Linked DNA regions of Caenorhabditis elegans. The protein of the gene in region 1 purifies or fractionates together with the protein of each later gene. This does not show direct contact. Each region holds a gene or a part of one and is shown on either strand. Other genes may lie near its edges. The genes, in order: Y65B4BL.1, C11D2.3 and R160.10.

The links.
Region 2: the proteins of Y65B4BL.1 (region 1) and C11D2.3 fractionate together in Caenorhabditis elegans (co-fractionation; one large-scale study listed by BioGRID). This does not show direct contact.
Region 3: the proteins of Y65B4BL.1 (region 1) and R160.10 fractionate together in Caenorhabditis elegans (co-fractionation; one large-scale study listed by BioGRID). This does not show direct contact.

The regions. Positions count from the first base shown.
Region 1 is NC_003279.8:529,233-532,992, forward strand, and holds Y65B4BL.1 (uncharacterized protein), read left to right. Parts: upstream 1-1,736; 5' UTR 1,737-1,755; coding exon 1,756-1,859; intron 1,860-2,034; coding exon 2,035-2,116; intron 2,117-2,492; exon of another isoform or gene 2,493-2,557; coding exon 2,558-2,653; 3' UTR 2,654-2,661; intron 2,662-2,714; 3' UTR 2,715-2,715; downstream 2,716-3,760. Other genes in the region: dbd-1 (DB domain-containing protein), read left to right, coding at 2,716-3,321, 3,387-3,620.
Region 2 is NC_003282.8:6,150,015-6,155,242, forward strand, and holds C11D2.3 (BLOC-1-related complex subunit 5), read left to right. Parts: upstream 1-1,798; 5' UTR 1,799-1,888; intron 1,889-1,939; 5' UTR 1,940-2,422; coding exon 2,423-2,441; intron 2,442-2,505; coding exon 2,506-2,615; intron 2,616-2,804; coding exon 2,805-2,980; intron 2,981-3,029; exon of another isoform or gene 3,030-3,050; intron 3,051-3,325; exon of another isoform or gene 3,326-3,350; intron 3,351-3,719; coding exon 3,720-3,800; intron 3,801-4,211; coding exon 4,212-4,409; intron 4,410-4,455; coding exon 4,456-4,609; 3' UTR 4,610-4,663; downstream 4,664-5,228. Other genes in the region: C11D2.7 (PUA domain-containing protein), read right to left, coding at 4,708-4,974, 5,042-5,228.
Region 3 is NC_003284.9:4,366,480-4,369,603, forward strand, and holds R160.10 (uncharacterized protein), read right to left. Parts: upstream 1,036-3,124; 5' UTR 1,034-1,035; coding exon 957-1,033; intron 897-956; coding exon 689-896; 3' UTR 547-688; downstream 1-546. Other genes in the region: R160.4 (DUF4845 domain-containing protein), read right to left, coding at 2,064-2,265, 2,316-2,371.

The DNA.
Region 1 (3,760 bases):
TTTCCGAGGAAAAACATGGCAAAAATCAGGTTGATCGTGAAACTCGTCGGGGGCTCCTCTCACTTCTTCCCCATCTTCATCTCTCCTTCTCTTTCCCGATCCGATCTTTTTTCCTTTCTTCCATTTTTTCTCGTTTTTCCTTTCCATTTTTTCTTCTCCTTCTTGTGTTTGATTATCCATCCTCCTTGCCCTTTCTCCTTGTTTCATTTTTCTTTATTCATTCGGATGGAATAGAGATATGGTTCCGTAAATTCATTCCAATACTAGAAGAATTAGTAAGACATTCGTAGGGGGGAAAATTCCGCGCAGAAAGCGACAGGAGGTTCGGGATTGGGTAATCGTCGGAAAAATGAAAAATCGCGCGCGCCCGCCCGCGCAGATGGGATATATACTAAATCACATGGGCAGCGACATGATATACGATGGATTGCGTGATCGATAGGCTTTTCAAGGAGGTACATTAGCACTGGTGGGCGTCGGGATCCTTGAAGGAACAACGATCTTTGAAGGAGATGACGAGGATGTTGTGAAATTTAATTGTGATATCATTCTATTATGTAATCCCTGGCCTAGAATATACATCATCTTTTAGAATTCTGGTCGGCTAGATGTTTTCGGGAAGTGCTTCTAAAGGATCGGCGCTGCCATGTATGTAGGAAGTGCTTATGCCAACCCCAATCATCTTCTCAATCTACTCCTCAGAAGTTCAGTTCTGCCAATCCGCACGCTCCACCTTCGTCGCCTATCCGTTTCTCATGCGAGTCTCGGGTCAAGGCAAGTGTGCGTGTCCTTCAGTCGTGAAGTCCTATTCATTTATTTTTGCTGCCAAAGTCCGAACAGTTTTTTCTAGCCGTGTCGGCAAAAGGGTTCTTATTGCGAATTCACCTCCTCCCCACTCGAGAAATCGCCCCCCCGCCGTCCTTGGTAAAACTGACCTAGAAAAATAAAAACAACACAAAGCGCCTCCCGCATCATCACGCGTATATATGTATATATATAAGATGGTAGGCGGGAAGAGGAATCGACGCAATATCGACTGAAGGTTGCGCAATCGAGATGGCTCTTCCCGGCACGGATACCTCCTCCTCGCGTACCAGGCACCCGCATATAGCTAAAGTTCTCCGCCCATTTCGTTACTTTTTTGTGCTTCCCATATCATCGCAGCAGCGCTTATGCCATTGCGCCCGACCCGATCCAACTTCTTATTCTTGTTCCTTAGCCTTCTCCCCCTCCCATGTCCTCCCGATATCCAAAAAGTGGGAGGAGCATGCCATAGTGAGAGGGCGGGGCCGGGACACACACAAGGCTGGCCCCGAGAAAACGAACAACACTTATGCCGAGGACAGTCTCGACAGTTGGTGGTCACCCCACCTGCGCCTTGATTACCCCGCCCGTCCGCGCCCGCCGGGCTAAAGTATTTTGTTTGCCATTCATGTTCCTCATTCGACGTTCATCATGCTTCTGTTATGCTTCTTGGTGTTGGTCCGGTTCCTTTCTCTCTCTCTCTCTTTCTTCCTTGTGGATCAGATGCCATTCCGCCTTTTTGCTAGATAAGCGCATATTCATCTCACTCTTCTTTGTTTTCAATTCAGCATTCTTTATATATCCAATATCCTACATCCTATATCCTCGTTCTCTCCTCATTTTCATTCATATGCCGATCCATTTGGTACTGGTGGTGTCGTTCTTCTTAGTTTCGCTTTCCAATTCTTTTCTAGACAATTCCTTCTATTTCCAGAAACTTTTTTCTACACAATGCTCCCAGACAGCCCATCCCCACGCGCTGCCCTTGCTCTCTCCGATCTTCAGCCACAAACCGGCGCCTCAACGTTCTCAATTGGCAGTGGATCAGGCAACTGGTAAGTCGAGTTCTTATGTAACTAGTAGGATGGTAGACATCGAGATTAACGATGTCTGGCATTCGTTACGTAACGAACGGGTTCTCCCGCCGACCATCGAAGCGCTTAAGCGCCGAGATTCTCGGCTTCATCGCACCCCGGTCTAGCAAGTTTTCCAATCCATCCCAAATTACAGGTCGACAAGAGGTGTTGGTGGAGTTAATGGTGATTACATGGACAAATCCGGCGGAGGAATGTTCGGAAACAGCAGAAACAACGTGAGTTATAAAAATATCTGGGGGGGGGGGGGGGGGGGGAAGTGTTGTTCTAGGCCAGGGACATTGAGAACCGCGTGATGAAGAGTACTTTTATCCGAATTAAATCATAGGCAACGAAAACAAGAATCAGGTTCTTGTGCTTTGCACACCATGTCGGAATATCCGTCTCAATCAAAACGAAAAAAGCCTAAGCTGGACCAAGTGTTAAATGCTTAAATGCCAAAAATGAACAATCTTTCAAATCACTTTCATCTTCCTGTAAATCAGAGAATCCTGAAGCGCTGGCGCGCACACTTACGAAAAGTGAAAGCCGATATATCAAGTTTATCACCTAGCGGGACTTCCATTGTCTCATTGTCTCTTGGCTATCCGCCCCACTTTCCCCCCGGATCATCCGCCCCCTTTAATCCAAGACTCTCGAACAGTTTCGCTTCATTCCAGGACCGATTCGCATTCGGCAACAACAGCTCGTCGTCCTCATCAGCAGGCTGCTTTTCATCGAACAATTCGTCAGGCGGACTTTTTTCCAGTAAATAAGTTAATATGTGAGTTTTTTTTGTGTACATTTTCTTCTTTTCAAGATCCATTAACATTTCAGAATGCGATCGGCAGCCGGTATTCTTATTCTAATCTCAATAATTATTCCCAGTGTATATAGTGAACCGAAGTTGCCCGATTGCGAGCAAATACCAAAAGTCTTGTGCTGTACCCAACGTGTCTTAGATAAATGTATGTCTGGTTGTATCGATTATGTCACTGAGAAATGCCCCCACAAATTGGAAAAATACGAGACGATCGATGAAGAGCCATCGACGAGAGCTCCAAAGAAGCAGGTGAAGCCAGCTAAGGCAACTAGCAACAGAGTTGTCGGAGCAGTTGAAGTAGACCATGAAGCCAAGGAGCAGTTCATCGACTCCAAGGATATCAGAAGAGCACCACGAGTCGGTGATGCCAAGCTTCTCAGCCAGGAGTACCCGATCACCGAGGTCACCGACGCCGATCTCTCCTCCGAGTGCGGAACCGAGAAGTCTCAGCCACCATTCTCACCATGCTTGTCCCGCAAGTCGGCCGACGACGTCTTCCTCTCCTGCTGTCGCCAACAGGTTCCATCCAACTGTCACAGCCTCTGCACCTACGAGCATCGTGAGCATGTCGCCGCTGAAACTCTGATCCAGGCGATCCAGCAAGAGCACTGCGATATGAAGGTAAGAATAGTTCAATCTTCCTATTGAGTTTTTTTTTTGAGTTTTTCCAAAATTCATTCTTTCAGTACTTCTCCAAACTGCTCTACTGTGCCAACCAAAACCGCGACAACCGCGCGTGCTGCTCCAACCTCGGCATGTCAAACGCGGAACTCGGCGTCGGCGATCGTTGCCTACGTATGTGCAACATCTCCCCGTCGGGAGACCGTGTAAGCTCTATGGAGAAGGAGGATCTCGTCTGCCTGTCCAACTGGAACGTCATCATGTACTGTGCCAGAGGTGGTCTTCGTACCATCAACTAGACCATCATCCCCGTTCTCTTCTCCCGTAATAAGCTGGCTCAGGTTGTTAATAATAATTCGCCGCTCGTCTTAATAATTTTCCATTTTCCAATCTCGTCCCCCCTTTTCAACACTACCACATTTCTCAGTGATATTCATCT
Region 2 (5,228 bases), on another chromosome or scaffold:
TATCTACAAATGATTCATAATCTACAGTTTCCTTTCTTCTCTCTCGCTGCACCTGGCACGCCTCATAAAAAGAGAAACAAACGACCTTTCGCTGTTCAAATTTTGAAAAGTCATAAAAGTTCTCGCTTTTTGTCGGAGCTATGCCTATAATAATTTGGAAATGTAATGTAAGTTAAGGTATGTTGAGTAAGTTGGTGCACAATGTTTAAATAAATAAGTGGTTTTTAGTATTTTCGAAAAAATATCCCCATAAAAAAATGCTCCAAATGCCTTCTCTCTCACCTCTTTTTCAAGAAAATTAACTCAAAAATCATAAATCACATTCAAAAATATTTGAAAAACACACAACGAAATTAGAAAAAAAGAGAGGCGACTGTGGAGAAGGAGGACGGCAATAAGAGAAAAGATAAGAGGGCACAGCCACAAAAGAAAATGGAAACATCAACTGAGTATAGTGGGCAAAAGCGAATGGGCGGAGAAAATAAAATTCATGAATAATTATGGACAATTGAAAGAAAGCGTGTAAATGGTAATATGGGACTCTTGAAACCGACAAAAATTACAGGGATTTAAATTATAATTTAAAAAAAAATAATAATTAAAGGATAATTAAATTTGATTTACAAAGTTCAAAGAAAATAGTTCTATTTTCAGACTGTGCATATTCTATACACTATATGCAAATCAATGCTGTCAGTAACGTAGACATATGTCTTGGGTTACTGTATCACAAAGATCAAATCACTTAAATTTGCGGCAATCATTTTTCAACAAGAATCCCAAAAAAAGAACTCGGCAAATCGGTCCAATTTGTTAGCGTACTCTTGCAACTACTGTTGAGCACTTTAAATTTTCAACAAATTTCTAAAGATTTTCAGACCATTTTTTAAATTTCTATTGAATTAATTTTCTAAATTGCAAAAATTTGCTATGAACTTGCGACGTTTTGTCAAGAAGATGCCTCTGACGTCAAATTTTTCCAGATCTCAATTCAAAATTCAACTCTATATTTAACTCTCAACTGAGTTTGGAATATGTTTTATGATGTATGAAAAACATTAATTTTTTTTGCAAAGTATATAGGAGTTTCAAGCATTTAAATTGGTCAATTGGACAGAAAACAAATTCAAAATACATTTTTTATCAAGAAGTTGAATATGTGGGTAGATCACTCGTAAAATTATAGCCTTGCGGAAAATGTGAAACGAAACAAAACTTTAAAATTTAAAGTAAGAAAATGGCAAAATCGGAAAAAAAATGAGGGAGCTGAACGATTTGAGTAATCACACGTTTCTTTTCAGGGGTTTATAAAATATCGAAAATCGTTTCATATTCACGGTATAGGTGCGGTGAAATCGAATTGTTTCCAATTGTACGACCTGTCTTACAATGATTAGAAAAAAAATAAGTTTTTATTTGTATGGTCCATATAACTTTCCTTTCAAAGGTTTTCAATGTTCAAAGTAGACATAGACCCAAAAAAAGATTATTTCTCTTTAACATAAAACCTGTCTGAATAAAAATCTTGGATGCCGTTAATTTTCAAGGACTAGATAATAGCCTGTAAGCCTATAGGTAAACCATTTTTCTGTAAAACTGTTTAATTCCAACATTCGTGTCTGCGCATCAATGTAGAACACTTATTTGACTTGCAAATAGACAAAACAAAGATAAATGTGACAGTCGCGTATTTCTTTTGATAGGGACAAAAGCTGTGTGAATAATATCACGAGAGAAAACTCATGACAGTGAATAAAAGTGCATGGTTAATGTCCAGAAAGCAAATATTGAATGGTAATTTGACATTCAATTGTTGAATGTAAAAAGACTTATTCATATCTCAGTTTTTATGCGACTATTGTAGTGATTCAAGTACTTCATATTTATAGTAATAATAACTCCAAATGATACCAAATTTAATCTATTCGAATATTTTCAGTTTTATTGTTGTTCACTAGACATCCCCTTTGATGAGAACGGGACGTTTTCCTGGCCCTAATATTCGTCTTCCTAATGCCTACACCGGCAACTTTTTGTAAATTGTTGTTTTTGTAAATTGTTGTTCGGTGTTTTGCAGAGGAAGAAGCTGGGAGGAGACTGTGTCTCTCATTTTGGTGGGTATCTGAAGCTGTCTAAATACGTGAATTTTAAAGTGGCGTGCAGAGGCGTGACGTCATATATGAACGTGCAATTTCAAAAAATCCGTATTCATAATCACTTTTGGCCCTGACTTTTTAATTTTTTTTTCCACTCAAGCCTTTATTTTCTGCCAATTATGCTTCCAGTTCACTGGACAATTTTGCAACTCAACCAGAGCCATGCCATGACACTAAATAAAATTTGAAACTGGTTCAGTAACCTTTCACTGCTGCTCAAAATGTTGCTCAAAATTTGAGTTTATTTTTGCTTTTCAAAAGTTTCAATGTTCCCATCGATTGCAGGTAAGAAAGTTATATTTCTTACGTTTTCTCTTTAGACCTGTGATAAAATTAAATTTTGTTGAAGGTTCTAACAAACCTGGTGCTTCTTCATCAACACTGAGATGGCAGAAATCAACGAGGAGGATCTCATATGTGAAGTTACCTTCTATTCAGTCAAAAGGGAAACAAGGTCAAGTAAGTTATCTGAATAATAGTAACATTTCAACGTAACAGTACATTTTTTGACTGAAAACTTAATGTTTAATATTTAAAAAATTTATTTCGCTGTGAGACCCGCTTGAATGTTTTGTTTATTGTGAAGAATAACCACAACATGAGTAATTAAAAATATCTATGGAAAACTAGAAACTTTTCATATTACAGAAAGTAACCTCTGTCCCTTCTGAAGATGAACCCATACCATCTGATCCTGGACCATCACTTCCTCCGATTCCAACAATTACACCGTCATTGTGCATTGATAATCAATATTTTTCAAACTATATCAGTGAAAAACCAAAAATGGACGATGTTGACTATTTGAGCAGAGCGTTCAGTTCGTAAGTTTACTATTAAACAACATTTTTTTCGATTTGTATTCTATAGGATCTTCCAAAAAATGGTGGTTGAATGTTTTATCCTGATTATATGAAAAGATATTAAAGTTCTGAAACAGTAAATTTTTTTTTTCATCACGAAGTCCGCGACTATTCTTGGAATTTATCTTTGGAATTTTTAAGGCGGCTAAATTAAAAAAAATATTTTTTTCGGCTTCGAATTCTACACATATTCGTGTTGTGAGATTGAATTGATGAGAATTTTAAGTATAAAAATTCACAAATGTTTCATAAGCTTTTTCACTGTTTCACCGGTTGAGATAAACAAAAGCTTTAAAAAATTTGCAATTAGTCTCTTGTCCCGCAAAAAAGTTATTTAATAGCTTTTGTGAAATCTTCCAAAATTTATAAATTACAAAAATTACTGAACATAATCACTTCCCTGATATTATCGAAAAAATACGATCGCACAAATTTCTCATAATATATTTTTGATCTACCTGTTGATCTTGTTGCCGTTGTTATTTTGTTGTGGCTGTCTTGTCAAAGGAAGAGGAGGAGCCTAGTCAACAAGGTAAATCAAAAATAAATTATGAGAAAATTGTGCGATCGTATTCTTTCGATAATATCTCATAGCGATCATACTGTTGCCGGAGTATGATGAACTGTAGATTACTGTAGTATCGCGACGAGATATCCGGTACCTGGTTTGAGAAAGTTCTTTTCAGAAATTTCAATTTAGATTTGCGAAAATCCAGGGAAATCTACATGCTCAGAGAACAAACTATTTCGAGAAGCGGGGACTTCTTGATGCTATTGAATTGTGAGTTATTATGGGGACGCAGAAGAGATTTCAAAGGAGCAGAATGTTCCCTTTGAAATCGATGTGGAAACGCGCTCCACAGCCAATTAAAACCGCCCCGCCTCCCACAGTTGGGTCTCGTATTAGGTGCCAAGACTGTAAATTTAAACTTTTCAGTTAGTTTTGCCGATTTTGTCAGCTATCAAACATTTTTGTTATTTTTTCTGTTGTTTGTTAAATGATTTTCGTGCCGAATTAATTGTTATAAATGCATGTTTAGGCCAGCAGGAAACACATCAAAATAGACGGAGAATGATTAGAAAATGGTAATAATTATATTTAGAAATCGCTCGAATTTTCAGTTTTCCCGCCAAATACCTAGCGAGATAATATTTGCTCATGTGTACTTTAATGCAAAAATAATTTTTCCAGGAACATTGAGCAGCAGAATAATAAAATCAGTGAGGCTCTTGGATGCTTGGCTGTTTGCAATGAAGTAACCGAGAAGTATCAATGTGCTCTGGACAATTCTTTTCAGGTTTTAGTCGATGATTTCTCGGAGAAAGCCTTTAAGTTGAGCAGCTTGACAACTCAACTTCACGCATTACGACAGACTCATCACGCGAATCAGTAAGTGAAGTTTGTTTTGTTTCGCTCTGATGTTGAGAAATTGCAGGCAAGTTCGCAAAAATGAGGAATCTCAACTGGAAGAAATAGCGTGGCGTATTGAAAGGGAAGAAAAGAGAATCAAGAAACTCGACGGAAAACTTTGGAAATTTTATGAGAATCGAGATGGAAAAGGAAAAGATACAACAAAAGAAAGTGCATGAAAATATAAATTAAATCCCAAAATGGACATATAAAATAAAGATCATCTCAAATTATTGGAAGTCTGATAAAGAGCACGACGACCGGGAATTCGAGCACATCAGTTCAACGATTTTTCAGCCAAGTGCCACAGCCCATCGTTCAAATAATGAAGATTTTCAATTCCGTTTCCTTTATTCACAGATTGAATTTCCTCACTGCTCATTGACATCAAACCAATTGCCAACGCATGTTGCTTTCCTTCAGCCATCACAGCAACCACTGAATCCTTTGGTACGAGAGGAGTGAGTTTAGCTCCTGGCGATGTTAATCCAGGACACATTATTGAAGATCCGTTCAGGATGAATTTGATGGCACCTTTGTCGACCTGAAATTTGAATTTTCATCAATAAATGGAAATGTTGAACCAGGTAAATAATCAATTTATAACCAACCTGTTGATGTGGAAGAATGAATGGATACTTGTGAAGTGTTCTCAAAGTTGGAATGTAATCAGTGTTACGTGTTTTAACAAATCGCACGACACCCAGATGATCGGCGAGCAATTCAATGTGATCCTTGCATTTGATCACTTTGAAATTCTCCTTTTTCGGGAGGATCTCCTCAAGATGTGGCTCCAAG
Region 3 (3,124 bases), on another chromosome or scaffold:
CCGTTTATTGCCCAGATATTCGTCACTCGCTGCTCATCACGGGGCAATGCACAGATTGAGTAGATGGAAGAAAATTGGCAGATGCTATATGCGCACAAAAAAATGTTGGAAAGGGAACATGAAAAAGTGGTGAAGAGGGCAAGGGGGATTGGAGGCGAAGAGCAAATACTGTGTAAAAAACACATCAAAAACATAAACCTCTATTCTTAATTGATTGAGAGACTTGCAAGTATGTACTGGCCGAGCCAATAATCTATGAGTGCATAGATTCAAACTCAGTAAACAATTACAATTTGAATTTGCATGAGTCGCTGCTCAGTGTGATACGGAGCCATTGAATTCTCTGAGCAGCGACGCTTTTAAAACAAAATAATTCGAGTTTGTTGATATATAGAGAATGTTTTTGTAATGTCTGGAAATAATTCTATAACTGGATACTACACAACAGTACGAAAAAAAGGGACACATGACAAAAACCTATTGATCTAATTTTCGTATATATTGCAAATTGGGGCTAAATGGAATCATTTTGAAATTGCCAATTTATTCAGTAATAACTTTATACATATAAAAATTAAACACAAACTTATGTTCTCTCTAGGTTTCAATGATAATTATGACAATTTATTGAAATGTGTGGTATGATTATGCGGGTTATAGCAATTGGGAAAATAATACAATAAGACACTTAAACGCGTGAATTGTTGATAGGAGCTCGTGACAGCAATGGTAGTCTTCCTGGTAATGGGTCGTTAGTTGTTCCAAGTGATGCTAGGGGTATAGACCCTTGAGCGTTCTCAGCGTCCTCATCTCCTTCCAGCTCTGGCCGGCAGCAACTTCCTCTCCGTCCACAGCAACCGTACTTTTGCATGATGTAGTCTACCAAAAAACCAATGCTGGAAATTCAAAAATGTTCATTTTGTTTTTTAAAAGACTCCTGAAAACTTTGTTCTCACCTGAGACACGAGAGGACAACAACCAAAAAAATGAGCATCGGCGGAACATGATATTTGATTGTTTGAGCTGTTTCCATCTGACAAATAATTCGGAATGTTGAACAAAAAATGAAACTTATAAATATGAGACAAGGATTAACAACCTTGTGGGATATAGTAATAGAAGATAAATCGGTAATAATTTAAATACGTTTATTGGTGTAAAAAAGTAATGGGCAATCGGTAGGGTGTATCAGGAAACATCTATGATTAGCAGTACAATTTCTGAAATTAATTCCCATTAAAAAATTTGAAAAAAATAGATGACAGCAACCTCTAAATGGTAGCTTCAACTCGGATGACTGTGGTTCGAGCAATGTGTTTATGCATGTTTTGAAACACCTCGGCAATGAAGTACCAAATTCTAAAATTTTGGATAAAATTGAATTATTTTTTGAAAGTGGAATAAGAAATTACATGACCACCGCCGAAGTCAAACCGATAACTATCAAAAATCCAATGGTCACTAAATTCTGGACGTCCATGGTAAAGTTTGAGTTGTATAAAAATGAGGTATCTGAATCTTGAAATGAGATGTGTGCGATATATTTTTCAATCGCCGATAATGAGAATTGAAATGTTTTATAAAAGCGTGTACATGTATGCATTTTAGACCAGAATTTTTACTCCTCACACAGAAAAAAAATGTCTGACGAAATAATTAACACATGAATTACGTCAAGGTTAAATTTTACAATCATAAATATGGTTTAAGAAAAGTTTAAGAATTCCAGTAATCCGAAATTTGGGCAATTTCAGCCAGTTCCAAAATTGCTCACTGCAGCAAATTCAAAAACCAGCAATTGCTCAACTTACCAATTACCGCACACCTCTGATCAAACCAAAATAATAGTTATGGTTTGGCAACCTAACAATACCAAAATATTAACCAAAACGGAAGGGCACGCTAAAATTTATCCACAAAAAAGTTATTCGAGAGCTACTAAAAAGAAATAGTCTATACTACTGTATTTCAATTTTATCGTTGTTACAAATTATGAATACATATGGTGCATGTTGATCGTCTGTAATAAAATTTTGAAAAAATTTACGAACATTTTTCTTACTTTAAATAGGAAGAAGTGGAACAGTGTCTATGATCACTTTGTTGGCAGCATATACTTCCAGCCCATGCATTTGCTCCAGTTGCTCCACGTCAAGAGATACAAATCCTTGTGGACGACTTGGCTCCTCTTCATCCTCAAATCTTTCGAAAAAACGGGGCTGTGGGAAGAACCATTCTCTGATGAGAGTTATGAATAGGATGATGCTATAATTTCCATAACTATTTAAAAATAATTTCAGATCATCGTCACTTACAAAAATATTGACCAAATTAGGAGCAAGATGAGATAGATGCATTTGATGATGTCCATGTTGAAACAAGTCATGCAGGTTTGCGAAATAGTAATTGAAACTAACAAAAAGTTAAGAAGGATAATTAATTAAATATACAGGTATACTTATTGGTTTCAACCAAAATCGATATGAAAAATTGTTCAGAAATTGACATATGTAACATCAACATTCATTAACAAAAAAAGGAGATCAATAATTAATCTGTGCAGTGCTAACAATGACAAATGTCTACAATAGTATTGCATTCAGACCTGAAAAATATATGCTCTCAGTTTTGAAAAAAATATATGTTTCCCCGAAATTTCCTGCCTTTCTACTTATTTTCTCACTGACAATGAACATGTTCAAAAATAAGGAAAAAATCCTTAATAAATTTTATAAAAGTTTAGAGAAACGACTTAAAAATACGAAGAAATTTAAAATAAAATTGCAAACTAATTCTTAAATCATTAACAAAAGTTTTGAAAGTTTTTTTTAGTACTGGCATTTTAAGTTTTAAAAATAATGAACCCAACTTTACTGTACTTTTGTCATTTACGATCCATTCTTTAAAATTTTAAGAGATTAATTTATGGATCCTTTTGATTGCAAATCAAAATGTATCTCGGCATACTCTTTAAAATTTTTTCAAACTTACTTCCCTACATTGCAATATAAACTTTGTTATACAAAAAGTTATAATTAGGAAATTAAAAGTTTTGTACGTTTGCAAAAGTATTTGCCGTACATCCCTACCGTACCCAAAAAAAAAATAATACTTACTTTTAATA